Linked DNA regions of Pelodiscus sinensis. The protein of the gene in region 3 purifies or fractionates together with the protein of the main gene of each other region. This does not show direct contact. Links are inferred from orthologs where the notes say so. Each region holds a gene or a part of one and is shown on either strand. Other genes may lie near its edges. The genes, in order: CYFIP2, EPS8, ABI1 and putative protein BRICK1.

Evidence for each region.
Region 1: the proteins of ABI1 (region 3) and CYFIP2 purify together in Homo sapiens (co-immunoprecipitation; 4 studies listed by BioGRID and IntAct, with this or other methods). This does not show direct contact. The link is inferred for Pelodiscus sinensis from reciprocal best matches to the Homo sapiens genes ABI1 and CYFIP2.
Region 2: the proteins of ABI1 (region 3) and EPS8 purify together in Homo sapiens (affinity purification with western blotting; 4 studies listed by BioGRID, with this or other methods). This does not show direct contact. The link is inferred for Pelodiscus sinensis from reciprocal best matches to the Homo sapiens genes ABI1 and EPS8.
Region 4: the proteins of ABI1 (region 3) and putative protein BRICK1 purify together in Homo sapiens (co-immunoprecipitation; 3 studies listed by BioGRID and IntAct, with this or other methods). This does not show direct contact. The link is inferred for Pelodiscus sinensis from reciprocal best matches to the Homo sapiens genes ABI1 and BRK1.

Annotation. Positions count from the first base shown.
Region 1 is NC_134727.1:39,281,883-39,288,864, reverse strand, and holds the start of CYFIP2 (cytoplasmic FMR1-interacting protein 2), read right to left. Parts: upstream 3,014-6,982; 5' UTR 2,854-3,013; intron 1-2,853. UniProt on the Homo sapiens protein: Involved in T-cell adhesion and p53/TP53-dependent induction of apoptosis. Does not bind RNA. As component of the WAVE1 complex, required for BDNF-NTRK2 endocytic trafficking and signaling from early endosomes.
Region 2 is NC_134711.1:112,321,689-112,328,726, forward strand, and holds the start of EPS8 (epidermal growth factor receptor kinase substrate 8), read right to left. Parts: upstream 3,009-7,038; 5' UTR 2,875-3,008; intron 1,942-2,874; 5' UTR 1,862-1,941; intron 1-1,861. UniProt on the Homo sapiens protein: Signaling adapter that controls various cellular protrusions by regulating actin cytoskeleton dynamics and architecture. Depending on its association with other signal transducers, can regulate different processes.
Region 3 is NC_134712.1:226,076,402-226,083,594, forward strand, and holds the start of ABI1 (abl interactor 1), read right to left. Parts: upstream 3,020-7,193; 5' UTR 2,901-3,019; coding exon 2,784-2,900; intron 1-2,783. UniProt on the Homo sapiens protein: May act in negative regulation of cell growth and transformation by interacting with nonreceptor tyrosine kinases ABL1 and/or ABL2. May play a role in regulation of EGF-induced Erk pathway activation. Involved in cytoskeletal reorganization and EGFR signaling.
Region 4 is NC_134721.1:46,503,338-46,509,793, forward strand, and holds putative protein BRICK1, read right to left. Parts: upstream 2,100-6,456; 5' UTR 1,970-2,099; coding exon 1,852-1,969; intron 1,492-1,851; coding exon 1,409-1,491; intron 1,189-1,408; coding exon 1,162-1,188; 3' UTR 518-1,161; downstream 1-517. UniProt on the Homo sapiens protein: Involved in regulation of actin and microtubule organization. Part of a WAVE complex that activates the Arp2/3 complex. As component of the WAVE1 complex, required for BDNF-NTRK2 endocytic trafficking and signaling from early endosomes.

The DNA.
Region 1 (6,982 bases), on a different chromosome or scaffold from region 3:
CTGACAGTGATGTGTCAGCGGGAGAGCAGCTCCCACCCAAGTAGCTTCCGCCACTCGCAGAGGTGGCTTTATTATGGCGACAGGAGAGCTCTCTTTCACATCGGCATAGAGCGTCTCCACCAGACATCTGTACAGCTGCAGGGCTGTATGCCTAGAAATGGCCTTTGTCGAAGAATAATCACAATTGCTGGGAGATGGCAAAAAATAGCTGGTATTAAATAGCCTCGTGTGAAATGAAATGTTGCACATAGACAAAGAAATATCACTGATTGCTAATCCCTTGAAGAGCAATTTCCTCTTTTTCTTGAAGACAGACAAGTTGATACATGCATATTATTATTATTACTACGAATTATTACATTGTTCCGCCTTTGACTCCTCAGTGGTCATGTTTGTTCCATGGACCCTCGCTTTGGAATCATAGAACCAGAGAGTTGGAAGAGACCTCAGGAGGTCATCAAGTCCAGTCCCCTGCCCAAAGCAGGACCAATCCCAACCAAATCAATCCAGCCAGGGCTTTGTCAAGCTGAGACTTAAAAACCTCTAGGGATGGAGACTCCACTACTTCCCTAGGGAACCCATCCCAGTGATTCCCCACCCACCTAGGGAAATTGTTTTTCCTAATATCCAACCTTGACCTCTCCCACTGCAACTTGAGACCATTGCTCCTTGTTCTGCCATCTGTCACTACTGAGAACAGCCTCTCTCCATCCTCTTTGGAATCTCCCTTGAGAAAGTTGAAGACTGCTATCAAATCCCCCCTCACTCTTCGCTTCTGCAGACTAAACAAGCCCAAATCCCACAGTCTCTACTCGTAGGTCATGTGCTCCATCCCCCTAATCATTTTGGTTGCCCTCTGCCGGACCCTCTCCAATGCATCCACATCCTTTCTATAGTGGGGGGCCCAGAACTGGACACAATACTCCAGTTGTGGGCTCACCAGAGCTGAATAAAGGGGAATAATCACTTCTCTAGATGTGCTGGCCATGCTCCTCCTAATGCAACCTAATATGCCATTCGCCTTCTTGGCTACAAGGGCGCCCTGTTGACTCATAACCAGCTTCTCATCCACTGGAATCCCCGGGTCCTTTTCTACTGAACTGGTACTTAGCCAGTCCATCCCCAGCCTGTAACAGTGCCTGGGATTCTTCCATTCCAAGGGCAGGACTCTGCACTTGTCCTTGTTGAACCTAATCAGATTTCAAGGCATCAGCTGATTACATAAACGTTGCTAACAAAAATCAGCCGTATATATTAGGGCTAAATTCCTGTCTGAGGAATGACGCTGGATTTACACTGAAAGTGGACAGCAGAATTTGGCTCCAGGAATCTACCAAGGTGACTGGCATCTGGCAGCCCTCCTAATGTAAAACTTGGACATGTTTTTTTTTAGTTTCCTGGGCTGAGCAGGAAGTGTCCAACGGTTTAACGACCTGACACAATTACGGGAGACCCCTGTGATCCAAGAAACACAGCTAGAAACAAACCACCATGCTGAAAGCAACGGCTGGCTAGGAGGGCCGAGCTATGCAATATCCTGTTCCTTGCCAAACTACAAACGTGTGTCTGTAAATGCCAGTCCCCTCTCCTCCCCCACCAAAAAACCAAACCCCAGCAAATACACAGGAGCAAGCACAAAGGTTTCCACTTGTCTCTCACTGGTCAATCCTGATTCCTCGGGACATGGACGTTTCCTGCCAAATCCATTCCCTTCTTTTTACTCAGGGCCTGTCTGGCACCAGACTGGGAGTGAACGTGCCTCTCCTTCTTTCAAGCCCACTCAAACGTCCTGGGTTCGAAAGTTCACCTCCAGCGTGATGGGTGGGCCCCCCTCTTGTTTTGAAAACGTCTCACCGCTGAAAAGTGGCCGTGAGTTTAAATGACAGGAGAGAAAAACTGGTCTGCAACCGCTGTGGGATATGTGGCTTTGCAGACTTCCAAGCCTGTATTTTTGGTTCCTCACTCAAGCCAGCCAAAGTTCAAGTCCCTAATTTCCACCCTCAACGCAAACTGCAACCGCGTCTGCCTCCTCCCCTGCCAGCAGAACCAGGGGGGCACTTTTGATTCTGTTCTGTTCACTGTGTGCGCCTTCACCTCTGCGAGCCACTTGCGCCTTTTATTTTCTGCCCGGGCTCTGTGGCCACGCTGGCTGTGTACCCCGCCGTCCATTTCCCTTTGGGCCGCCCCATTGTTCTTCCACACCCATGTCCTCGTGTCCACGCAGCACGGCTCCGATATGGGCTCGAATTAAACGCTGCCCTTCTGGCCAACTCCTGGCAATGAGGGGAAGCGGCTGCGGTGGGAGGCTGCTGGCTCCCCCAGACTGCAGCCTCCTGCCAGCCCCTCACTCTAAGCTCATCCCATTTGCTGCAGAGGGGAAGGGGGGGGGGGGGAATTGGGCCCTTTAGGCTGCCTGGCGGGTGCACTAGAATAAACAAGGAGGCTCTGGATAAGCCCGCAGCATGCTGGGATCGCTCATCCTGCAACAGCCCCTGCGCTAAGCTGGGCCCCGCAGCGCTCTGTGGCTCGCAGGGCGCAGCTGCACCTGCCCGCGGTGCTTTGCATGGGGACCCCGCACCCCAGGGCCCGTGCAAGCCCGGGGAGGGGGGGCTGCGAGGCACCCCAGGCAAAGCCGGGCAGGGCTCCATGCGGGGCCGGGGGCTGCCTGCCTGGGCGAGCTGTCATGGCCCGGGGCCAAGCGCCCCCCCAGCGGCCGGGATCCCCCTGTTGCGCGGTTCCAGCCCGGGCAGGGCGCAGCGAAGCGGCACCGGCCGTGCCCAGCCCGGTGCTCCCCGGGCCGCCCGGCGCCCCCTGCCCGCGGCGCCCCCAGCCCGGCCGGGCCCCGCCGCTTACCGGCCGCGAGAGGATGCTCCGAGCCGCAGCCGCCTGCGCCGCGATCGGTGTCAGACACACAAAGAGCAGGAAATGGAGCAGCAAGTGCACTTCCTGCGCTGCGCGCCCGCTGCGCGCCCCGCCCGCCTGCGGGATGCTCCGTGCGCCCGCGCCGCGCCGCGCTGCGGGGATGGAGCGACTGGTCCCGCCCTGCGCGCCCCTCCTGCCACGCACACCCGGCACCCACCCACCGCCCTCCCCCTGCACCCACACCCTCCGTCAGCTCACACCCGGCACCCACCCAGCGCCCTCCCCCTGCACCCACACCCCTCCGTCAGCTCACACCCGGCACCCACCCAGCGCCCTCCCCCTGCACCCACACCCTCCGTCAGCTCACACCCGGCACCCACCCAGCGCCCTCCCCCTGCACCCACACCCTCCGTCAGCTCACACCCGGCACCCACCCACCGCCCTCCCCCTGCACCCACACCCTCCGTCAGCTCACACCCGGCACCCACCCAGCGCCCTCCCCCTGCACCCACACCCTCCGTCAGCTCACACCCTGCACCCACCCACCGCCCTCCCCCTGCACCCACACCCCTCCGTCAGCTCACACCCGGCACCCACCCACCGCCCTCCCCCTGCACCCACACCCCTCCGTCAGCTCACACCCGGCACCCACCCAGCGCCCTCCCCCTGCACCCACACCCTCCGTCAGCTCACACCCTGCACCCACACCCCTCTGTCAGCTCACACCCTGCACCCACCCACCGCCCTCCTCCTTCACCCACACCCCTCCGTCAGCTCACACCCTGCACCCACACCCCTCTGTCAGCTCACACCCTGAACCCACCCACCGCCCTCCTCCTTCACCCACACCCCTCCGTCAGCTCACACCCTGCACCCACCCACCGCCCTCCCTCTGCACCCACACCCCTCCGTCAGCTCACACCCTGCACCCACCCAGCGCCCTCCTCCTGCACCCACACCCCTCCATCAGCTCACACCCTGCACCCACACCCCTCCATCAGCTCACACCCTGCACCCACCCAGCGCCCTCCTCCTGCACCCACACCCCTCCGTCAGCTCACACCCTGCACCCACCCACCGCCCTCCCCCTGCACCCACACCCCTCCGTCAGCTCACACCCTGCACCCACCCACCGCCCTCCCCCTGCACCCACACCCCTCCGTCAGCTCACACCCTGCACCCACCCAGCGCTCTCCCCCTGCACCCACACCCCTCCGTCAGCTCACACCCTGCACCCACCCACCCTCCTCCCCCTGCACCCACACCCCTCCGTCAGTTCACACCCTGCACCCATCCAGCGCCCTCCCCCTGCACCCACACCCCTCCGTCAGTTCACACCCTGCACCCACCCAGCGCTCTCCCCCTGCACCCACACCCCTCCGTCAGCTCACACCCTGCACCCACCCACACCCCTCCGTCAGCTCACATCCTACTGCCACCCACCCACCGCCCTCCCCCTGCACCCACACCCTGCGAGGCTGATCTGAGGAATAGAAAATCTTCCCTCTGTGGAGACACAAACAACTGGGCTTGTTTGGCCTGATCTGAAGAAGGTGGAGGGAAGATCTGAGCGCTCTCTCTAAATACACCCAAGGGAAACATACCAGGGAGGGAGAGGAGGGATTTCAGTTATGCGCCAGTGTGGCCACAAGAACAAATGGATAGATACAGGCCTCCAACAAGTCTGGGCTTGAAATAGAATCACAGAACTGGAAGGGACCTCGAGAGGTCATCGAGTCCAGTTCCCTGCCCTCGTGGCAGGACCAGGCGCCATCTAGATCAGCCCTGACAGGTGTCTGTCTAACCTGCTCTCAAATATCTCCAGAGATGGAGATTCCACAACCTCCCTGGGCAATTTATTCCAGTGTTTAACCACCCTGACAGGGAGCTTTTCCTCATGTCCTACCTAAACCTCCCTTGCTGCAATTTAAGCCCATTGCTTCTTGTCCGATCCTCCGAGGCCAAGGAGAACAATTTTTCTCCCTTCTCCTTGTTGCACTCTTTTAGGTACTTGAAACTGCTACCATGTCCCCTCTCAGTTTTCTCTTTTATAAACTAAACAAGCCCAATTCTTTCAGTCTTCTCTCTTTGCTCCTGTCCTCTAGAACTTTCATCGTATTTGTTGCTCTTCTCTGGACCCTCCCCAATTTCTCCACAGCTTTCCTGAAAAGCGGTGCCCAGAACTGGACACAGTCCTCCAACTGAGGCCTAGTCAGCGCAGAGCAGAGCGGAAGAAGGACTTCTCGTGTCTTGCTCACAACACTCCTGTGAAAGCCGCCCAGAATCAGGTTTTATTTTTTTGCAATCTGATGAAGGTTTCTGTCCATACGAGGAGGAAGTTCTAGCACAGCCTTCCAAGGGGAGTTGTGGGGGCAAACATTCGAGCTGGCTTCCAGTACTAAGTAGGATACGTTTATGGAGGGAATGGGATACTGGCAACAAGGCCCAATGGGTAGAATTTGAAGCTAGACAAATGAGTACACAAAATAAGGTGGAAGGCGGTAACAGAGGGGGGATTTATCCTCTGGAGCAAGTTTCCAAGGGGTGTTGGGGAGTGTCCTGCTCTGGAAATCTTTAAGTGAAATGTGGATGTTTTTCTATGCCCGTACGGTCACAGCTAGTGGACTTGGAACAGTAATAAGCCAGGGAAGTTCTGTGGCCTGATTCATACAGGAGGTTGCACTGGGTCAGGGGTGGCCAACCAGATAGAGACAAAGAGCCAAAATAGCTGTGGATAGAGTGTGAAGAGCCATGTATTATATATTTAGTTGTATTGATGGGGGGGATGTATGGGGATGGGGGGGTATAGACAATTTGAAGTGCCTGTTTCCCTCTAGCTTGTTGATCTCTGGTATGGTTTACTCGTTTTTTTACTTATGAAGATGATGGCTTTTTTCTAGTCCTAAAAATTCAATCTGTCCCAGACTGCAAATCTGAGAGGTTCAAAACAATATGGGAGAGACCCACATCTCAGAATAATGGCTTCAGCCTGGCAAACAATCGCCTCTGAATTTTCTTTAAAGAAACCCAGTGTAAACTAGGTACATGCTGATTCTTTTTTTGCCCTGGGATTTAAATATGACATCTGTGTTGGCTGCCTTATTCTGCATCCATGAGGACTTTCAGTTTAAGGTGTTTCAGCCCCCCTGCTCTAACCCAATCCCCCCTCTCCCTCAGAGCCAGGCATCCCCCAGCCTCCCTGCAATAACCCAATGTCCTCGTCCTCCCCCAGAGCCAGGCACGCCTCTCCCCCCACTCTAACCCCATCCCCCTCACCTCCCCCAGAGCCCGGCACCCACAGTCCCCCTCTTCCCCCTGCTCTAACCCAATGCCTGGGTCCTGGAGCTGCTGCCACCATGCGCTTCTCCCTCCAGGCACTGGGGCACGTGTGCAGAGGGGCCGGCCGGGAGCAGTCTGGGCGTGCAAGAGCCACTTTTCTTTAAGCAAAGAGCCGCATGCAGCTCGGGAGCCGCAGGTTGGCCACCGCTGCACTAGATGATCACCGGGGCTCCTCCAGTCTTAAAATCTAGGACACTCTGGGCACAAAGTTTTAAAAGGATAGCGCTCAATGAAGTGGCCGTTCAAGCAAAACTGTGTTGGGTAAGGGGCTGATCTCAGGCTGGTTCTTTGCCTAAAAATTAGCCCCACCGTTGGGAAGCTGGCTGCCGAAAAGCCAGTGCTGGCGTGATCCATGTCTTTCAAAGCCTGTGACGTGAAGTCAGGCATCCATGATGTTCGGGCGCCCACGTGTGAGCTCGGTAGTTCCCAGAGCTGCTTGGCATCTGCCAAGGGCTGCTCATTTCTAGGCGAGCATCGTGGGAGGGTCGACAGAGGGGGCAGAACGCAAAGAGATCCCCTTTCGTCTCATACACAAATGCGCAACGTTGCTCCGCCTGGAGTTGTGGTCTGACTAGCGTGACTGTCTGCTAGAGCGGGGGTTCTAAACGTTTTGGCCTGCAGCCCACCCCACCCAATGACAGCCTTTCCACGGACCGCCAGCCAACCACCCAGATGACAAAAAGAGTGCAGGAGCGGGTGGGGGTGCGAGGTTGGGGTGGGAGCGGGCTGGGGATGGGGGTCAGGCTGCGAAGTTGGATGCAGGAGCAGGCTGGGAATGGGG
Region 2 (7,038 bases), on a different chromosome or scaffold from region 3:
CCCTTTTCCCTAAAAAGATGTCAGAACTATCTACCTGGTGCTAACCATATAAATCGATATGCAGAAGTAGCACTATAGTGCCTGGTGCCCATTTTATATGGTGATCATAAGACTCTTGCTCTTGTTCAATGTGTTCGCAAGCACAGAATCAGATGGTGACTGAGCACTAGCTACTATTAAACCAGATAGATCACCGTTTGTTGACAAATCCCGAGTCTACAAACTCCAAAAACTCTAGATCAAACAACAGCTTTCTAATATTATGGACAAGATCCCAGACTTATACTGGAGCTACATTTGGCACAGAATCCAGGGTGCAGGTTTGGTCTCTGACCTAAGCGTATATCTACCATTCAGCTGCTCTAAGTTACATCAGCACCAATAGTGTCTGGGGAGTAGTAAAATATAACACATTGTGGCCATACCCCATCTTGCCTTGCCTGCTATATGCAAACTGAAGAGTCTTTATTTCAAGGACATCCCTAGGTGCCTCATAAGCCAGGTATCCAGCTACTTTACATTGCCTGGCAGAGCAAACTGCTGAACATGGGGCCAAGGGATCTGGGCCTATCTTTATTCAATGCAAAGTCCATGGCAAATTCACCAGCTACAACAGTTAATAAAATTTAGCAGACATAATGATGCCAACTGAGCGACAATCTGTAATGGCTTCTCCTCTCCCTCTTCCCCCAACAGTGGGGATTCACCAACAAATTACCACATGCAACGACTCCATTTCCAGCTGGCCATTTTAACCTTTTACTTAATTAGTGGTCCTCTTCACTTTCACATATTTGCATTGCCCAATTCAATTTTACAGGGAAAGAAATAAAATGACTGACAATACAAATGTACACATTACCTTTAGCTGGCTGAATGTATACATCTGCACTGACTATTACATGGTATGATACAATACAACCCACGGGGATGTAAAAATTGTCCAAAAGAGTTAACCAGTAAATTGTTTGTTTAACCAGTTAACCACTGGCCACAGGCAGGGGGCTGCTCCAGCCCGATTGCACTATAGGATGGGGGCTTCTCCGGTTTTGTGGACTGCATCAGCCCTGGCATCCAGAGCTACTGGGGCCTTGCTGGTCAGGATGCTGCTCTGGATAGTGAGCCCCCCCAGTTACCCAGTAAACATGCTGGTAAGGCATATGTTTATCGGGTAACTGTTTAACCTTTAACATCTCTAATAACAAGGGCTTGTTGTAGGCAGGACAGTTGCCTTGGGTGCCAACTTCAAGGAGGTACCAGATCACTGAGCCACTTTGCTCCCCTTCTCCTCCCATTACTCCCTGCGCTGGCTGCTGGTTGGGGAGATTTTCCATCCTGGCAAGCACGGCAGGTTGGGCTGCACTTAACGAGACTGTTTCTGTAATTCTGCACACTCAGTGCCTTTTATACATACATACACAGATATTTGAGAACAGTGACATTTCACCCAGCAAGGTGTCACCAGTTCTGCAAAGAATGTTGCAGGAAATTTCACGTCAATTGACTGTCAGTTGTTCCAATTGACATTCACTAAAGACACGGCCAAACACTTTCAAGTTTCTAGTCAAGAAAAGATGGAATGACACATGTTTAAGCACCTCTTGCTCTCATATTCCCTGGCTATGGGTAAGGTCACTTTTTGGAAGACGGAGTTAGCTGATATTTTCCTAAATGTTACAGATCAGTATGTGAGCATTATGGTTGGGGAACAGCATAATGAGTCCATCATTTTACTATCTTAATTATTTCTGGAAAAACTGAGGGAGAGGGCAAGTAAATGGCATAAGAAGCTCTTAATGCTTTTAAAGAATCCTGAATGTTATGAATACAGACTACATATTTATGTATAACATAGACCAACCTGCTCTGAAGAATTTCAAGATAAATACAGCACAGGAAGGAATTTTCTTGTTTTCAAATGCTGGCAAAAAGTTTCAGCTTCTGTTATAAAAAGTGATAATACAAACTGAGTTAATACACAGGTTGAACCTCTCTAATCCAGCAATATCTATGGTCCGGCATGATTTTAGTTACACTGATCCACTTATCTGTGCTCTTATTTAGCTCTAATTCACCCCTACACGACTTCTAAAAACCCAGCAAGCACTGGAAGTGTAGGTGATGCTGCTAGACAATATTGACCTCCTACGGTTCAGCAAATTCTCTGGTTTGGCACCAGTCAGGTCCCCAGGGTACTGGACTAGAGAGGTTCATCCTATAATACTCTATCACCATCAGAATGTGAACTAAGAAACAGTACTATTTGTTGACAAACTACAAAGTCATTTGCTGCCTATTACACTTTCATTCAAAAGACCATTATAATTCACATTTAAACTCACCCCCCCCCAAGAACTGCTGAGATTACCAGAAATTACATGACTTTTTAATTAAAACAGATCACATCTTATTGTTTCATAGTTTTTGCACTTCTAGGAGCATGCCTTTAAAGTACATTTATTAGGATATATTTAAAGTACAATAGAAAAATTTAGAATTTCACACATTAAACAACCAAACGGTTTTGTAAAAGGACTAGTTTTTTGAACTGCAGACTCATTGCAGTTCAACAAACATGTATCCCTTCTGTTAAGGTCATGATGGGGGATAGGTAATGTTGGAATTTTCCCTCATTTATGTGGATTTAAGTTTATTTCTCTTTTAAAACTTGCAAGGAAAAAAAACTCAGTTCAACCTTATAGTGAACTTACATCATGAACTTATGAAAATACTAGGCACCAGAAACATAGGATGTTTTTACTTTTTTGATTTAATATATAATTACTAATACTTTGTATTACATAAGTCAATCATTTATTGTAGGATCAAAGTGAGTTTTACAAACACTATGGTTTATAATTTCATCTCACCAACCTGCTAATTTTGATGAACTGAGAAATTGTCTTAGAGTGCAGGTACACACAATGAATTAGTAACAGCAACAGAAATGGAATCCAGGAATCCTGGCTTTTTCCCTGCCCTCCTCTTCACAGGTTACACGACGCTGCCTAAAGGAATTTTTTTTTCAATTTCAAGACAATTCACATTTTCAAATAAGCTATATTTAAATTTAAAGGCTGTATTACAATGTTTTTAACCTTAATAAAAGTTTGTAATGTGTTTTCAGCACATTTTAACAGTTTTAACTATTGATAATTAGCACAGCATTTTCTGAATATGCAATATATTACAGGAACTCATTAAATAAGTCTATAAGAGGATCTTCCAGACTTTGCATTCAACATTATTTCTTAAGCATGACAGAGTACTTGGCACTGTATAAATCCGCATCCTACAGAGCACACGCACACAATCAAATCAAAGGAGACAAAGCAGACAAGATGCCCTGGGAAGTTCAAAGGTATATCTGGATGAAAAATTTCACTTTAAAAATATTTGCCAGAGGAGGGGACAAATTTGTTCAAAATTTTTCATTAAAAACATTTGCTTTCTAGTTAGCTCCTCTCAGCTGAATGGTTTACAAAGACAAGCACTGGAGTTCATGCGCATGCTCATGCTTTATTGTTGATTTTGTTCACTCCTTTTTATGGACATGTTGCTATTTTGATTCAACTGTCCAAAATTAAGCCATTTACTCTTCCTAAGAGACCATATTGAAACTGCCCTGGCACGTAGCTCTGATGGAGCATTGGCCTTGCTTGATAAGGAAGCCAGTTTTTACCACTATCCTGCAACCTCACTTGTGCTAAAAAAGGATTGCCAAAAGAGATAAATTCATATAATCTCTACACAGCTAAAAATCACTAAAGGTGGGTCTACAAAGCACCCTGAACTTGAAATAAGATACGCAATCTGAGCTATGGAGATTGCGAATCTTATTTTGATTGAATTTTGAAATAGCATGTTATTTCAAAATTTGGCACTGTGTAGACATACCAAATTTTGAAATAGCCTATTTGGAGACATCCCTTAACCTTCGTGGAAGCATGGTTGCCAGAATGCCAAAATAGAGTGCTCGTTATTTCGAACGGGCGGCTTGTGAAGATGTGGGGTAGCTATTTCGGGATACCTTCGGTATCCCGAAATAGCTATGCAGTGACGACATATTCTAAATGTCCAAAAATAACATGGATCAGACAAGAAACCGAGAGTCTCATTCATAATACTGTTTATTAGAGACAGATACGCTCTTTAAATGGATGTTTGACAGTGCCCCCGCTGAGTGACTTTTGCATAGCATCTCTCTTCACACTGATTTTTGAAAAACACAGAAGAATTTATAAGTAGGCCACAGTTGTACACTCTCTCAGCCTCCAAATATGGAAATTCTATCATATAACCAACTCCCAACTTGTAGAAGGAAGTGGGAATTTTTGTGCCTTTCACTGTGCCATGAAGCTCCTTATAACATGCCCCCCCGTGCTAGAAGGTTTATGCACATAGACCAGTGACACCTCCATTAAAACACGGAGGTTGTATGTGAAGCTTCTTCTTAAAAATTGGAGAGTTCATTTAGGACATGTTCCGAAAATTCTACCCAATAAGGAAGAAGAGTTCAAAGTCCATCTCGAAACAAAACACAAACACTTATCTCTTAATAAATTAGACTGTGTAGTCAAGGAAAATTACGCTGCATCTGCAACTAATTTACCAATTCTATATATATAATACAGATCTTTTAAGTGGACGTTAAAATGTGTGACACTTAATAACTGTATTTGAACCCTGTTGAAATATTGGATCAAAGCAGCAAAGCAGAGTCAGCTGTAGAAAAAATCCAGTCCAACTGCAAAAATTTCTTTTATGTATAACATTGTATACACTCTGCATGATTTTTCTCCTCTAAATGGAAGCATATTAACATGGAGTTTTTTGTCAGGTACACAGCAAAATACATGCCAATATATATATGCTCGGAGATGCTGCTCTTATATAATTTTTAAAAATCCCTGAAATGTACAAATTAGGCACTTTGATTTAAAATATTGGTTTGATTGTACTAATTTACCTGGCATACAATCCAGAAATGCAAAGAGTCAACTAATTTTTCCCTTTTTTTTTGGCTCCAATGGATTTAGTGTTGATGACAGCTGCCAAATTGACAACTATGGGATGCAGCTCCACTAGGAATATTAGTATCCATTTTTCAGCAATGGTGCAGCTGCCCCTGAGATTGTAATATGGTGATTTTACCGCTGGTCTTGGAAACCAGCTCAGGTTTTCATTACAAAGTGACCAACCAAAAAAAGCAGCTTGAGAACCCAGCGTAGATTAGAGATTAGAGCATTGCTTTAAAATGAGGTACTGATTTACTTAGCGTGGACAAGACCATGCAAAGCGTAGGCTCCACTCATGTCCTGTGATCCCAGACAGTTTTGTACTTGTTTATCACCTCTATGTAGTTTATTAATATTACCACTATCGTCACAGTCCAAGCAACAGTTCTGTCTACAACGTTCTTCAGATGTCAGCCCACTCTCCATGGAGAGTGCTCAGCTTGCTCCTTCAGTTCTGCTAGCATTTCCCATTCTGCACTTTCTTCCAGTGCTTTCTAACCATCTTAGTTCACATTCTGATTAAGGTAATTAAGTCCTTCATTCCTAAATCAAGTCTTCTCTGGGGGGCAAATAATCAGCTTAAGTGACCAGAGTGCTGGGATATCGGTTAGCTTTCAACACTGTCACAGGCCATATAAACCAAAGCATATTTTCCTATCCCTGTTGGGCTAGGATCTGGGAGCTCTGGCAGAGACTTACACCTGCATAGAGCTCTGTATACAGAATTGGGCTCCTAGTTGGAAATTGAACTAGCAACCTAAAAATAAAAAGGCTTTCTATCCCATTACTGATATATAAAGAATTTTGTACAGAAGGGATTATTTAACAATTGCTTGTTCAAAACCAGCTTTTTAAAAAAGTGAAATTATGAAAATAAATATTTGCTGCCTCCCCCTCAAAAAAACCTGATTGTTGTACATAAGCTCTCTTATCCAAAGGGTATGGGGGGAGAGGCGCGTGCATGCGAGCACACGCACACACACACACCCCTACACCTCCTACCAAGGCCTTGGGAGTGGTATCACTTTGCCCGTTGGACTCGTCCGCAATTGTCTTTCAACAGGTTTAGATACAATTTTCTTTCTAGAATCTATTATGCCACCTAACAAGTCAATTATTGATTATTCTAACCCTTTTATATGAAAGTATTTGTGCAAGGCGCTTACTGCCATCGCTGTGCACTATGTTCATTTGGCCATTTGTTTTAATCAAAGGTTGCTTCAAATAAAATTGTGAAGTAGCCTCCGCAGAAACATTTCATTCCCCTAACAGTTTTGAATGAAAACAAGACATGGCTCATGTGGCTTGGAGCAGAAAAGAAGCCACATTTCTTCTACAATCCAGTTTTAAGTAAACCAATTTTATTGCTTTAGCTTAGTCTCTGAAGAATATTAATCTAATGTAGGATACCACAGGCAGACAAACTTTATATGGGATCGCTTAAGGGCCAGGATGAAAGACAAGTAGAGAGCATGAGATGTAGTCTCTAAAAAAGTTACTTTGAGTTGCTATTGCAGCCCAGATACCAGGGCATACCCATATAATAAGAATACAACATATGGGGGAGGGGGAGTGATTTAGTACAGCTGTCCCCTCATACTGTAAAAGCAAAAATTCCATTTTGTGCCAAGGAGGAGAAAATGGCAGCATCCCTAATGCCTGCTCAAGTTCATCAGAATTTCCTTTGACCTGCAAAGAGGAGTAATATTTTAACAGTGCCAGAGCACACATGTAGTACAACCAGAGTCTTAACAGTCAAACTTTCAGTTCTAGAGGGTCACTGGCATGTGGGTTCAATTAAAACATGACTGCGAACCACTACTGCCAATCGCCATCCCTTTTAAAAGTGATCGCGTTCATCATGAGATGTAGTTCGAAGTGATGAACTTCAAATAAACAAATGTATTTAAATCTGGATAAAGTCAGCCTATGAAACAGTTCCAATAAATAAGGAATACAAATACCATAGCAATGATTTCTTTAAGTCCCATTCTATCTACATACATACTGCATTTTTTTC
Region 3 (7,193 bases):
TAACCAGTAAGCATCACCCTTAATGGATGGTGCATTTCAATTAACCCATGGAGGCAGGAGCAGCTCCCCATCTGCCACAGGCAGAGGGCTGCTCCAGCCCTATGGGTCCCAGCCCTTCCTGCAATAGGACCCATAGGGCTGGAACAACCACCTGCCTGTGGTGGTGAAGGTGGGAGACTCCATGCAATTGGGCTGGAGCAGCCCCTCCATCTGCCCATCCCTTTAAACCAGGCATGTCCAAAGTCCGGCCCGCGGGCCAATTGTGGCCCGTGTTCCGGTTTAATACGGCCCCCGCTTCCTCCCCCTCTCCCGGCTCCCCGGCGCTCTTTTGAACTGGCGCGCCCAGCGTGCCGCTTCCGGCCGCGCCGCCGCCGCCCATGGCCTCCGCGGTCCTAGAGCCTGCCCTGTAGGGCAGGTCCGCAGCCCTGCTCCCCCGCTCGGCTGCGGGTTCGCCCTGCCCCCGGGACGCCGTGAGGCCGGCGTGCCCTGTGCTCTCCACCCGCCTCCGACCCCGCGGGCCCTCCGCCTTGGGGCTGAGAGTGCGGGAACGGCCCTCACGCATGTTCACATCTTCAAATCTGGCCCTCTTTGAAAAAAGTTTGGACACCCCTGTTTTAAACCATTTAACTGGTTAAATATGTTTAGCTGGTTAACCAATTAAACGGGATTTTACATCCCTACTTTATACTATTCTAACTATAGAACAGATGGCTTTACACAACCACTAGGAAAATTGTTTTGCACTAAATGTCAATTTCTCATTTAGCACTTTTACTCAATTAGGCTAAAGCTGGACAGACTACATACTAGGTATAAAATCCACTAAACTACTACTTATTTATTCCCATTAGTTAATTCTGTTTCCTTGCAACAGGAATACACAGCTGTAGGAGGACAAAACTGTAAAATATACTGATTTGTGTACAGCTAGCCTTGATTCTTAAGGTGGTTCTTGGTTTGATGCGTTTCAAATGATCAATGAGGACATGTCTCTTAAAAAGATTTGAAAGCAACATGTAATGCCAGAAAGAGCTCTACAACTCTCCTGAAATAGAAAAAAGAGTTGACAGGTCAAAACATGTGCTGCAGTTACCACACTACTGTGTTTGTCATATTTCCCATGAGTAAACCCAAATGCAACCTCGCCTCTCTGAAGCATTTATATAACCAGCTTTTTTAGGGTGGAGCACGTAACTGAATAAGAACAGTTTAACCCTTATCGCCTGACACTGTGAGAAGGATTTATAGCCTTCTAAAACAAGTTCTGATTTGCTATTTGAATTTTAATTCAAATATCAAACAGCATTGCCTGACATGTCAGAAAAAAGTAATTTCACAAAGGGATGTTGAGGGATAGTTAAAGTTTGATAAAACCACTAAATTACTATCCCACTTGCACAAATAAAATAGTTGCTAGTTTCAGGCAAATGCTAAATATTAAAACATTAAAAGCTATATTAACTTTAAGTTACACCTAGCCCTAGGCAGTGATAGATTACAGTCAACAGGTTTACTTACATTGTAAGGAAAAGCCATAGTAAAAAAGCACAATTTTTAATTTCTCTTTCCTTAAGAAAGTTTTTCTGTGGACTACTTTGGGCATCTGGAAGGGCACTGTGTCCATTTCAGTTCACATGTATACATGCAATTATATCAATTATTTTCAGATGTATACAAAGATTACTATGAACATACTTTTCAAAGCCAAAATAAAAATGTACACACATGAGTTTTAAAAAGGGCTAAGGAAACTGAAGCAGCAAGATACAAGAACAAGTGCATTGGGGTGCACCTTGAGGCAAGAGACACCTGATTTAAAAATATTGCTATAGGATGTCTGAATTATGAAGCAAGCAGCTTTACTATCTCAGAAGGAGAAACTGCCATGCTGAAATAGCACATCATGTTTGCACATTACCGCCTATATACATGAGTACTGCTCATTGTAACAATTCAAAATCACCAGTACAGAATGCCAGGAATGCAATTCATGTATGTAGTTTTAAGTGAGAATTAGATGCCAACTATTAAAAAAAATCCACTGGGGGGGCAGGGCGACAGGGCGGGGGTGTCCCTTCTTTCTTCCCCAACATACAAACATATTTCTGCATTTGTCAGTCATTTGTATTTCAACACTCGCCACAGCCAGCATTTGCAAACCTCACACTTACATCCTTTCTGAAATTCACCTCTTTATACAACTAACAGGGAGAGAACACCCACCCCGGAAAGATGAAAAGGGCTGATGCCTATTACGTCTGTGCAACTGACTTAAGAACCCAGAACTTCAGGGTTTTTTTTTTTTTAAATGGTTAGTTTGATTATTGAAAATAACACTGTAGCCACTCCAAAGCCAAACGGCGGCGGGGGGGGGGGGGAGAGGGGGAGAAACGAAAGAGGAGGAGGAATTTGGTCTGACAGAGGCAGACTTTCAAGCGCTCAATCAGAGGCATATACAAATCCACCCTCTCCCCCATCTGGGCGCCGTGAGTCACAATAAAATAAATAATAAAAGAGACACACCCTCTGGGCTGAGCCGACAGAATCACCCCTCCCTGCTCACAAGCACAGGCGGCGTGGGGTGGGGGGAGTAAGAGGCACTGGGGCTAGAAAGTTGCAAGGCAGAGCGAAGAAGGGAGGGGGCGGAGGAACCGGGGCGCTGCGGCGGCGGCTGCCGGGCGATACAATGTATCGGCGGCGGCTCCTCCGGCTGTTGCAACATTCGGTGCCCACTTCCTGCACCCGCCAGTGCCGCCCTCCGCGCCCCGCCGGGCCGCCCTCACCTGGATGTAGTTGTTCTCGCAGTAGTCGGCCACCCGCGTGAGGTTCTGGTAGCTCTCGAGCAGCGCCCTCTTGCCCGAGGGGATCTCCTCCTCTAGCAGCATCTGCAGCTCTGCCATTTTCCTCCCCTCCGCATCGCTTCCTCTTGCATTAAAGAGACAGCGGCGGCGAGCCCACAACCCGCCTGGTATTGTGGGATTCCTCCTCGCCTCGCTTTCGTGAGGCCGCCCTGCTTTCCCCACCCACCCCGAAAATGCCCGTCGCACTGCATGCTGGGAGTTGTAGTCTGCTCCTCTCCAACCCCGCCCCCCTCCCCGCGGTATTTGGTTCTGGGAGTGGGCATGCGCCGGGGAAGCTGCAAGGTGTGGCTTGGGGTGGTTCTCTTCCCTTAGGCTGCGCCGTGGCTGAGCTCGGTGCTCGCTCCCACACGAGCAGTTTCTCACTAGAGGGAAAGCTGAGCTGTTAGTCCCACTCGTTTCACCGGCTTGGTTCAAAGCAGGATAGGGCTGGGCCAGCTGCAACTGAGGGAAATTAAACAGCATAGAGCCAGTTCCTCGGGGAGACCCGCTCTGCATTGCAACGGGGAGAGACAAAAGGCGTGACACTCAGTATTTAAACACCTTCTTCCCATCTACCCTGCCTCCCTGGATTATCCAGGCAGACCTTTCTCAGCGGCTGTAACAAACATTGAGATTGTCCACATATTAAAGACTTCTGAACGGCAGCCATTAACACTTTTCAGCATAACACTATTATTGCTCTTTTTTCTGGAATCAGTGTCCTGGTCTGACCTAGTGGTGCCCTTGTGCCACAAGATAGCAGATATCCTGGACCTGTACGTGGAGTTTCCAAATATAAGAGAAAGCAGTGATGTGAGATTTAGATATATTTTGATTAGAGAAAGCAGTCATATAGCACTTTAAAGGCTAACAAGATAGTTCATTAGGTGATGAGCTTTCGTGGAGCAGACCCACTTCTTCAGATCATACTCTGAAAGAGAATTGGTATGACCATTATGTAACAGAGGGATACAATGAAAAATGTAAACAAATTACAAACTAATGAATGGGCTACATAGAACAGAAGGTGGGGGCCAGGGGACACGGAAGGAGGAAATTGCTTATTAAGAGTTAATTAAGTGGCTAATCTGGACTTACTATGAATATCAAAAGGTGGGGAGGCTGTGTTTGTAATGTGTCAGGTAATTATCATCCATATTAAGGCCCATTCACAACCTGTCAAATTTTAGCATAAATAAAAGTTCTGAAGTCTCCCTCTGTAATCAGGTGTTAAAGTCTCTTTGTAGTAAGACGCATGTTGTCAGGTCTTTAAGGGAATGTCCAGTTTGATTAAAATGGTGGCTGATAGGTTTCTGTGTGTGGAGATGTCTGATGTCAGAACTTCAGCCTGCATTTTAATCAAACTGGCCATAGCATGCATGTCCAATAGCATGCAGATAATCATGGATTCTAGGAATCCAAGCCCAGCAACAGGTCCAATATCCAGTTGATTCCAAGGGAGCAATCTGGGCCTCAGGTATTTACTTTAGTCAGAGCTCAAGGCAAAGAGCCTCATACAGTTCCTTCTTTCCCCAATTGGCTTCTACACAGCAAAACCTCACATAACCCAACACTACCAACAATACAGCATGTCTTTACAAGATTCAAAATTTGCTTGTATGCCAAGGAGAATAATGTGGAAGAATATGTTTATAGGACCACTTGGTTATCATCTGCGTGACAGTGTGCTAGAGGCTAAAGAGCAAGCCAGCTGTCTTGTCACTTAGATGCCACTTAGTTCCCGAGAGAAAGCAGAGGGAGATAATTAGATAGGCTGACTGGGTGAGATAAGGAGTCAATTAGCCCATCAGCCCAAGTCTGATAGAGATGCACAGGAAGGAAGTGGTGGAAAGAGGCTAGTTGTGCTAAGTCACTTCTACATAGCAGAGCTAAACTCGAATTAAACTATGTAACTTCAGCTATGTCAATTGTGTAGCTGAAGTCGAAATAGCTTAATTTGCCTTTTGGCATAGTCTACACTGCAGGAAGTCGAAGGAAGAACACTTTTTCTTCAACTTCCCTCACTCTTCATGAAATGATGGTTACCATGAGTCAGAGTAATAAGTCCTCCAGCTCAACATTATTTTGAAATAAAGGCTTGTAGCATAGATGCACACTATGTTATTTGGGAATAACGCTGCTGTATAGATAGCCATAGAGGGCTCTGGGAAGGGAGATTTTTATTCCACTCAAGTCCAGAGGTGTGGGTCAAAAGCACTGCAGATATTGTAAACAGATTGTTGCATAGTGAGTGCTGTGGTGGCAGTGAAAGGAACTTAAAATGAACACGTACTACAAATGTGCAACCATTGAATTTTGCAGTTTCTTCACGGAAGACCCCACTTGCCACAACATTACTTCAGCCCCATTTGCAGACAGGGAAAACAAGGGCAAGTAACTCACTCAGTCTCACAAAGCAAGCCAACAGCAGAGTGCATGCATAGAGCACCTGCCCTGACTCCATGGGCAAATCTAGACTACCCTCAGCTTCAGAAAGAAGATATGCAAATTAGGTGTGAATTTGCATATCTTCTTCCAATCCCTTTTTCGGAAGAGGATTTTTGAAAAAAAAAAAAAGCAGTCTAGATGGGGTTTTTCACGCAAAAACCCCTTTTTCAAAAAAAACCTGTAAACCTAATTTTTTGAGGAATAAGGGTTCTTTTGAAAAAGGGAGGGTTTTGCATGAAAAACCCCATCTAGACTACTTTTTTTTTTTTAAATCCTCTTCCGAAAAAGGGATCGGAAGAAGATATGCAAATTCATACCTAATTTGCATATCTTTCGGAAGCCGAGGGGAGTCTAGACATGCCTCAAAGGTCATACTGAAAGAGAATAGAAAATGGTATCTTCAAGCTCTGCCCCTGGAGTTACGCTTGGGAGGAACATATATGGTCTCATGCCCCTCCTTAATATACCATGATTCCTGCATAGGATGCTGCCCAGTGCAGTGGCTGCATTCTCCCAGGTACCTGCTATGCTGCACTAGGCAGCATAGCCAGAGGCTGCCTGGGAGGAGGCACAGCGAGAAGGGGCGCTGCCCCACTAGGTAACATGCCAAGGAGATGAGGAGAGCTGGATCGGGGGTGGAAATAAGTCATATGGAGGTGGGGCTATGTGGGGAGATTTCATGGGGGTGGGAAGCCTACATTCCCCTTCAGCTGGTGCTCCCTTTGTGACCATTCCACTAATCAGCCCTGCTCTGTCCACAAAATGCTATCCTTGTGAGTTGTTTGCATGAGATTCTGCTCATAGTCGATCCTGTAGCTGTTTAAAACATGTTGATGTCATTAAGTTCTCTGAGTTCCATCTGGCTTCTTCATTTTGGCTCCCTCTCAGTGGGAGTTGCAGATACCTATGGGCTCATCCTTGGGCTTGGCTCATTTTTTATTGGCGGGAGAGGGGGGAGAGGAAGTAAGTGGTGCTATAGTGCAAACAGCACTCACTTGTGGCACCAAAATGAGACTTTACTCACAGTAATTTGTCCAGATCTGTGACCTTCTGTCTTCTTTCTTAGGCCTTGCCTGCAGTGGCAAGCTTTACCACTGGTGTGTAGTTACTAGGGATGTAAACTCCCGTTCAGTTGGTTACCTGATTACCAGTTAACCCATTAAAGAGGGCATGGGCAGAGGCTGCTCCAGCCTAGCCAGAGCAGTCCCTGCCTGCTGGGAGTTTGGGCCTACCACAGTCAGAGGCAGCTCAGATCATCCCCTATCCAAACAGGCTCCCTGTGGGGCTGGAGCAGACCCCTGCCCACAGCAGGAGGGGAGATGCTCCAGCCCCCACCAATTAACAGTTAACTGTAAACAGTAAGCATCACCGGTTAACCTTTCACATCCCAGCTATTAGTTACACGGGTATGACTTCCCCCCCATGTCAACTTATTCTGATATATGAGTGGTTTTGGCCTGTGTGCCTTGCGCGCTTGTGTGGCCACTCAGGATTCAAGTGCCACCCAGCTTATTAGCAGAGCACTCAGCTTTGTTCCTACGGTTGGTACATGTTTGCATATGCCTGGTACACACAGAAAAATGTATTCCGCGCATGGATAGAAAAATTTAGCGGGAACATTGGGTTTAGGGTTGCCAGCCACCCACCCACCCACACCAAACACACATCCTGTGTGGCTACTACCAAGAGCCACCAAGCTGGGAACAAAGCGGGAAGCAGCAGAGCCTGCTCTGCAAAAGCCGCTGTCTGCTACCCAAAGCAGAGAGGCTATGTCTACACTGGCGAGTTATTGCACAAGTACGGCCATTCTTGCGCAAGAATCCGCTGAGCATCTACACTGCCCACCCACTCTTGTGCAAGTAAATGTACAGTACGGCGTGATAAGAGACAGCTCCGTGCAGGCCT
Region 4 (6,456 bases), on a different chromosome or scaffold from region 3:
TTAACTATCAAATCCCTAATGGCTACAGGAAAATGGCCTGAGTTCTGTGCCCACTCCACACCTAAAAGCCCTGCCCCTGCCTAGGGAGACAGGACTCAACCAAGCTCAGGGGAGAACAAAGGCAAAAAGCAAGGACAGGCATGAGGTGTCAAAAGGCCAAAAACCAGGGAATTGTAAATGGACTCCAAGCAGAGAGCCCTGAATAGCAGACAACTCAGAGGAACTCTGCCCCCAGATCTGTGAACGTAGAGAGGAACAGAAGCAGACCTTGCAGACAAAGAGAACCCTTTGGCCAGATTTATTTTTGGGGGTGGGGGGTTAGCCACAGACAACTAGGATCCCTGATCATTTTGGGGGAGGTACAAGGAAGGAAGACAAGAATAGCAAAAAGCAGCTGCACCTCTTATAGTAATAGCACCAGACTCTTCTAGCCCATCTGCCCTCCATGGCCACGCTCCTGCTCCCGCCCCCTGGAAATCCAGATGTGCACTCCAGCTAGAGATCAGCCCAGACCCCGTCAGCAGAGACAGTTTATTGTGGTAACACAACCGGGAGACACCCCCCCATGTGACACTACACAATACAAAAGACATAGAAAACTCTGAAACCCACCCTGCCCAGAGAGCTGATCTTGGCACATTACCTATCTCCCTGCCCCATCCAGACACTGCACATCTACTGCTCTGCTCCCGGGCTGGAAGGAGGGAGGCGCTTGATGTTTTTGCTTAAGAGACACAAGTTGCAGCGCTTGCTAAAGGAACCGAAACCATCGGCGGGGTGGCTCCCAAACATCAGGCCTTCAGCCGGTCAGCTCCAAGAGAGGTTTTCTTCCCGGAAAGAGACCTGTGGCCAGCGAGATGCTGCAGTTACAAAGTGCAGGAGGAGTTCTACATGCATAGCGGGGAATGAGAGAGAGGTGAAGGGGCTGAGGAGTTAACTGGTGCACGACTCTGGCTAAAATTACTGCATTCAACGTGCTCGTTGGCATGTTATCAACTCTCTCTGGAGTCGCCCTGGAGCCACGCGCCCAAGGCAGGACAACCGGGGCAGAAACAAGCCAAAGTCCCGCCAATGGCAGGAAGTAAGAAATCAGATCCCGACAGTCGGCTGCGGCGCAGCAGCCCGGTCTTCTCCGGGTCGGCTCCCCACCGGCGTCTGCAGCTAGGTCAGCGTTTCGCCCTTCGTCACCTGCAAAGGAGAGCACAGCCTGCTCAGCGAGGGGCCGGGGAAGGGAACGAGGAGCCCGCAGGCCAGGCTCCTCCCGGGCCGGCGTCCCCCTTCCCGGGCTCCCGGTCCCCCCCCAGCCCTGCAGGGAGCCCCGGGCGGAGGCAGGAGCCGGCGCGGCTGGGGACACGGCCCAGGCACAGCGAGGGCGCCGGGCGCAGCAGGGTCCCGGCCCCGCCCTCACCCGGGCCTCGATGTACTCGATGCGTCGCTCCAGCGCCGTCAGCTTCTCGTTGAGGGTGGCGAGGCGGGAGCGGCAGGACATGTCTGCGGGAGAAGGGGCCGTTAGAGCGGGGGCGGGGCCAAGGGGGGCGGGGCAGGGCCGCGAGGAGGGCCAGGGTGGGAGGAGCCGGGCCAGGAGGGCCGGGGTGGGAGGGGCGGGGCCGTGGGGGCGGGGCCAGAAGTGCTGGGGGCGGGGCAGGGCCGCGAGGAGGGCCGGTGTGGGAGGGCCGGGGCCGTGGGGGCGGGGCCGGAAGGGCCGCGGGAGGGGCCGGGCCGGGCGCGGGGCCAGGAGGGGCCGCGGGGGGCGCGGCCGGAGGGGCTGGGCCGCGGGGGCGGGGCCAGGAGGGCCGGGGAGGGCGCGGGGGCGGGGCCGGAGCAGGCGGAGGGGCGGGGCGGGGCACGCACCGAAGGAGTTGAGGAAGTCCGCGATCTTCTTGATGGAGCTGGTGATCACCTCGATGTACTCGCGGTTGGCCCAGTCCTGGTGGATCTCGCGCTGCACCGGGTCCTCCTGCAGCGACATGGCGGCCGCCCCGCACTGCGCCTGCGCGGGAGAACGGCCCCGCCCCTCGCCGACCCGAAGCACAAGGCAACAGCAACGCGCGCGCGCAGCGCCCCCGCTCTCCCGTTGCTATGAGACACCCCCCCGCCCAGTACTGAGTCCTGTCCCGCCTCGCCCCAAGTGCGCAGGCGCAAGAACTCCAGCAAACTCGGGAGGCATAAAACGTAAATAGCTCCCGGGCTTTTATAGCTCTGTTTCCCAGCAGCCTTTGCGTCAACGGCGATGATTGGCTCCCTTGGCGGCCGCGCGCGCCTACGCGCTGTTTCGTGAGCGCGCACGCCTTGCCGCGCCTGTTGCCGTTTGCTGCTGCTGCTGCAGCTCGGGGGCCCTGGAGTAGGAAGTGGCGTCAGCGAGCCGGGCCTGCAGGTACCGCGCTGCGCGGCAGGGCCCGGGGGAGCGGAGCGGGGCGGGGCGGGGCGGCGGGCCCCCCTCAGACCGTGTCCCTGCGGGCCGGGCGAGGGCAGAGCCCGCCAAGGCCGCAGCCCCAGCTCGGGTTCCTGGGCCGGCCCAGGCCGCGGGGGCTGGGGGCTGAGTCTGCGCGGGAGCCAGGCCTGGGCGCGACGGGGCTGGGGCTGCCGGCAGGGGCTGGGCTCGACGCCCTGCGAGAGAGAGACGGGCACACTGAGCTGGAGCTGCCCCGGGAGTGACACACACACACACACACACACACACACACACACACACACAGACACACACACACACACGGTGAGCTGGAGCTGCCCCGTGAGTGACACACACACACACACAGACACACACACACACACGGTGAGCTGGAGCTGCCCCGTGAGTGACACACACACACACACACACACAGACACACACACACGGTGAGCTGGAGCTGCCCCGTGAGTGACACACACACACACACAGACACACACACACACACGGTGAGCTGGAGCTGCCCCGTGAGTGACACGCGCGCACACACTCTCTCTCTCTCACACACTGTGAGCTGGAGCTGCCCTGTGAGTGACACATGTGTGCGCACTCTTACACATGTGAATGCACGGTTAGTGCTGCACTATGAGTTCACTGTGAGATCTGCTATGTCAGTTGGTGTGGGAAGTTGCTGTTTCTTGTGTGGAAACTGTGTTCATTACCTCTCCTACACTTACTATGCTTTGGAACATCAGCATTTGCCACACAGATAATTTTATTTCGTGACATAAGTCCTAGGCTTTTGTAGTAACTCTAGCTAAGCTCACAAAGGCTTTTTTGAGCTTATGGGGGTAGCCGAGTTAGTCTGTTACAGAAAAAAAAAAAAAACAATGGTCTGGTAGCACTTTGTAGACTAAAGAAACATGTAGTTGAGATCATGAGCTTTCGTGGGCATGGCCCACTTCTTCAGATGACCAGAGATATGAGTTGGGGATATCAGAGTACTGTTTTAAATAAAAATTGAATGTTAAAGCTGCGGGGAAGCACTTCAGCTGCAAGTAGCATAATATCCTGACATTAAATATAGCTGAAAATCGGTTGCTGCTCAATATTCTTTGATTATCAACATTTCTTTCAGAATGAGATGAAAATAAGTGAGAAACTCGAGAGAAACTCAAGACTTTAGTACAGTGCCTAAGCAGTGAGTTGTCATGGAAGATATTTAAATTATTGCTCAAAGTAAACAGTGATTATAAAGGATGAAATTAATCAATATTTGGTGTGTTTAAAATGTCTTTTTTTAACTGTGTTCCCAGCTATTGTTTTTCTTCTAGAATTTTTCTTCCCTGATACTTTTTGTGGGGGTATGTAGATAGGTCAGGAGCAGTGGGGGTCACTTTAGACCCGTTAAGCCTCAATTCTTCATACTGGAAGTTATAAAGGCTTCAGGAAGAACTAGATTAGTCACAGAAATCTAGGTATGGGATGAAAGACTTATGGTTTTCTAATACAGAGCAGGTAAAACATATCTCATGTTTAGGTAAAAATATAGGTTTTTAAAAGATGAATTTGTGTCATCTTACTTTTTGACTCTCAGAAAAACAGACTTGGAAGTTTATAGTGCTTAGGATGGGTAATAACTTAATATCCAAGATTGACAAAAATCTTTCCCCCTCATCAATTGCTCTAGCTGCCCCTGTCTTTCTCAACCTTTGTATCTTCAGTGCCCCTCTCCTATTTGTTTTCTTAACACATTTATATGCCTCCCAGTCCTACCAATTTTTCCTAGATATAATGTTTAGGACCTTCAGGGGGTAGCCGAGAGAGTCTGTACAGGATAAACTTAAAAAACAACAAATGGTCTGGTAGCACTTTATAGTTTTATTTGTTGTTTTTTAAGTTTATCCTGTACAGACTAACAAAACACGAAGATGGTATTATGAGCTTTCCTGGGCACAACTCACTTCTTCAGGCTCATGATACCATCTACATGTTTCGTTAGTCTATAAAGTGCTACCAGACTATTTGTTGTTTTTTAAATTTATAATTTTTAGGATCTGCCTAAGTCCTGACTTGCTCATTTTGACTACAGCAATGCCTTTCTCTCTACGGAGGCTGCAACAAGAGCTAAACCAATTGTAGCAAGCCAGACATTCCTTGAAATAGCTGCCTTCTGCATGAAGTCCATGTCTCACTTCTACAGATGCAAAAGCATCTTTGTGAGGAGTCAAAGTTCAGCATCTATCAAACCTGTGGACTGTCTTTATCACTGCACAAGCTAGAAGTCTGCACACACTGACAGGCAGACTTAAAGCAGCTAGAGATATTCCTTACACGCTATCAGTGCCAAATCCTGAGTATAGAGTGGCTTGAGACACACAAGGGGGTGCAGTAATATCTTTTATAGGACCGAGTCACCAATGGAAATTAGCCCCATAGAAGATATTACCTCACCCACATGTCTCTCGAATATCCTGGGACCAGCACAGCTACAGCAGCACTTTGTATGAAAAGTGGTTTGATTGTCTCAAAATGTCATGATCTTGGCCTTCCTTCAGTCACTCGTGTTCAAAAGTGACATTGCATGCTTTTTGGCTTTCTTGCCGGAAGGGACAAAAATACCTTTGCACGCTGTGCTCTCAAATTCTCCATTGACTTTGCCTACTGCGCTGACCACAGTAAGTCCCTCTTGAAATCTTTGAAGCTTTCCTTTACTTTCTATGGTAAACTTAAGCATTTTGTTCTCTGGAAAGCTTCAGAACAGCCTGGATGCTCCTGTATTTCCCTATCCACTTGGCCTGAAACATGATTTTCTGTTACTTTGGGGCTTGTCCGAAGTTTTGTTTTTTCTTTACCTCTAGTTAATTATCAGATTATTTGAGGTTGCTAATATATTTGTAAAGTTTCAGATGGTTAGCATGTTAGTGTGTAACTAAAAAGACCTTAAACAATGAATAGTCCTACAGCACTTGAGAAACTATAAAAATGAAGATATTATGAACTTTCGTGGGTACAGCCCACTTCTTCAGATGAAGGGGGTTGTACCCATGAAACCTCATTATCGTATATGTACAGATTAGCGTGGGTCACTTTTAAAACTTTACATATGCTTCAGACATCTGTAGTTAGCTCCAGTGCAGTGTGTCTACACTGATCTCAGTGTATGCTTGCAACACATACATGCCTTTCCAAACCAGCCAGCTTTCTGAAAATAGCTGCGAAGGCACAAGCTTTTAAGAATGTTTCTCTCTCCCAACACACACTTTAGGTAAAGTTGCTATACTAAAATAAAAGTCCATTGCCGCTTTCTTTCCTAAGAGAAGCCTTTCAAGTCCCCTCATGCCAGGTGAAGCCAATTTGTCTGCAGCCCCTTATAAGAAAGGGGAGGTGTTTAGGAATAATTTGTCTTGACTTGTCCACAGCAATTGTTCCACCAGAGGTTGATTTAGTGGTCGAGTGAAGACCCGCTAAATTTACTGTTAAACACTCTTCTGTTGAGGCTTCTGCACCAGAATGAGATGAATAAGACGAGTCAATGGCTTCTGTTGATTCTGCATGGTTGAGACCATGCAGTAAATTGATTTAAGCTACAATGATTTGAGTTACGCCACTAACGTGGCTTAAATCGACCTGCCCTTATGTCAGCCTGCCATACCTTCTCTCTCCTCTTCCAAGTCCCTCATTACTATACACTTTTGCAAAAGATTTTTTTAATCTTCAGCTCATTTACATTAGTATTAATAGAGTAGAGGTATGAAAATCTTTACCAAAAGGGTGAAAAAAAATCTCAGAACCAATTGGAAGTTCTCTTCCTAGTCACTCTGTTTTCCATTCACATTTCCATGCCATTGTGCTGTTTCCAAACCCCCTTTTTGCATTTGTACAATTTTTAATGTAGGGCTTGGATTACACACAATTTTTGTAACCGTGTAATTATTTCAAGTAGGGGGTGTTGTTAATAGTTATACTGGTGGTAATGCTAGAGTGGGTGCAGTTGTATTAATATAAAGGTATCCAATACCAGTACAGGGTATTACCCTTTCCATGTGGAAATAACTGTCGGTATAAAA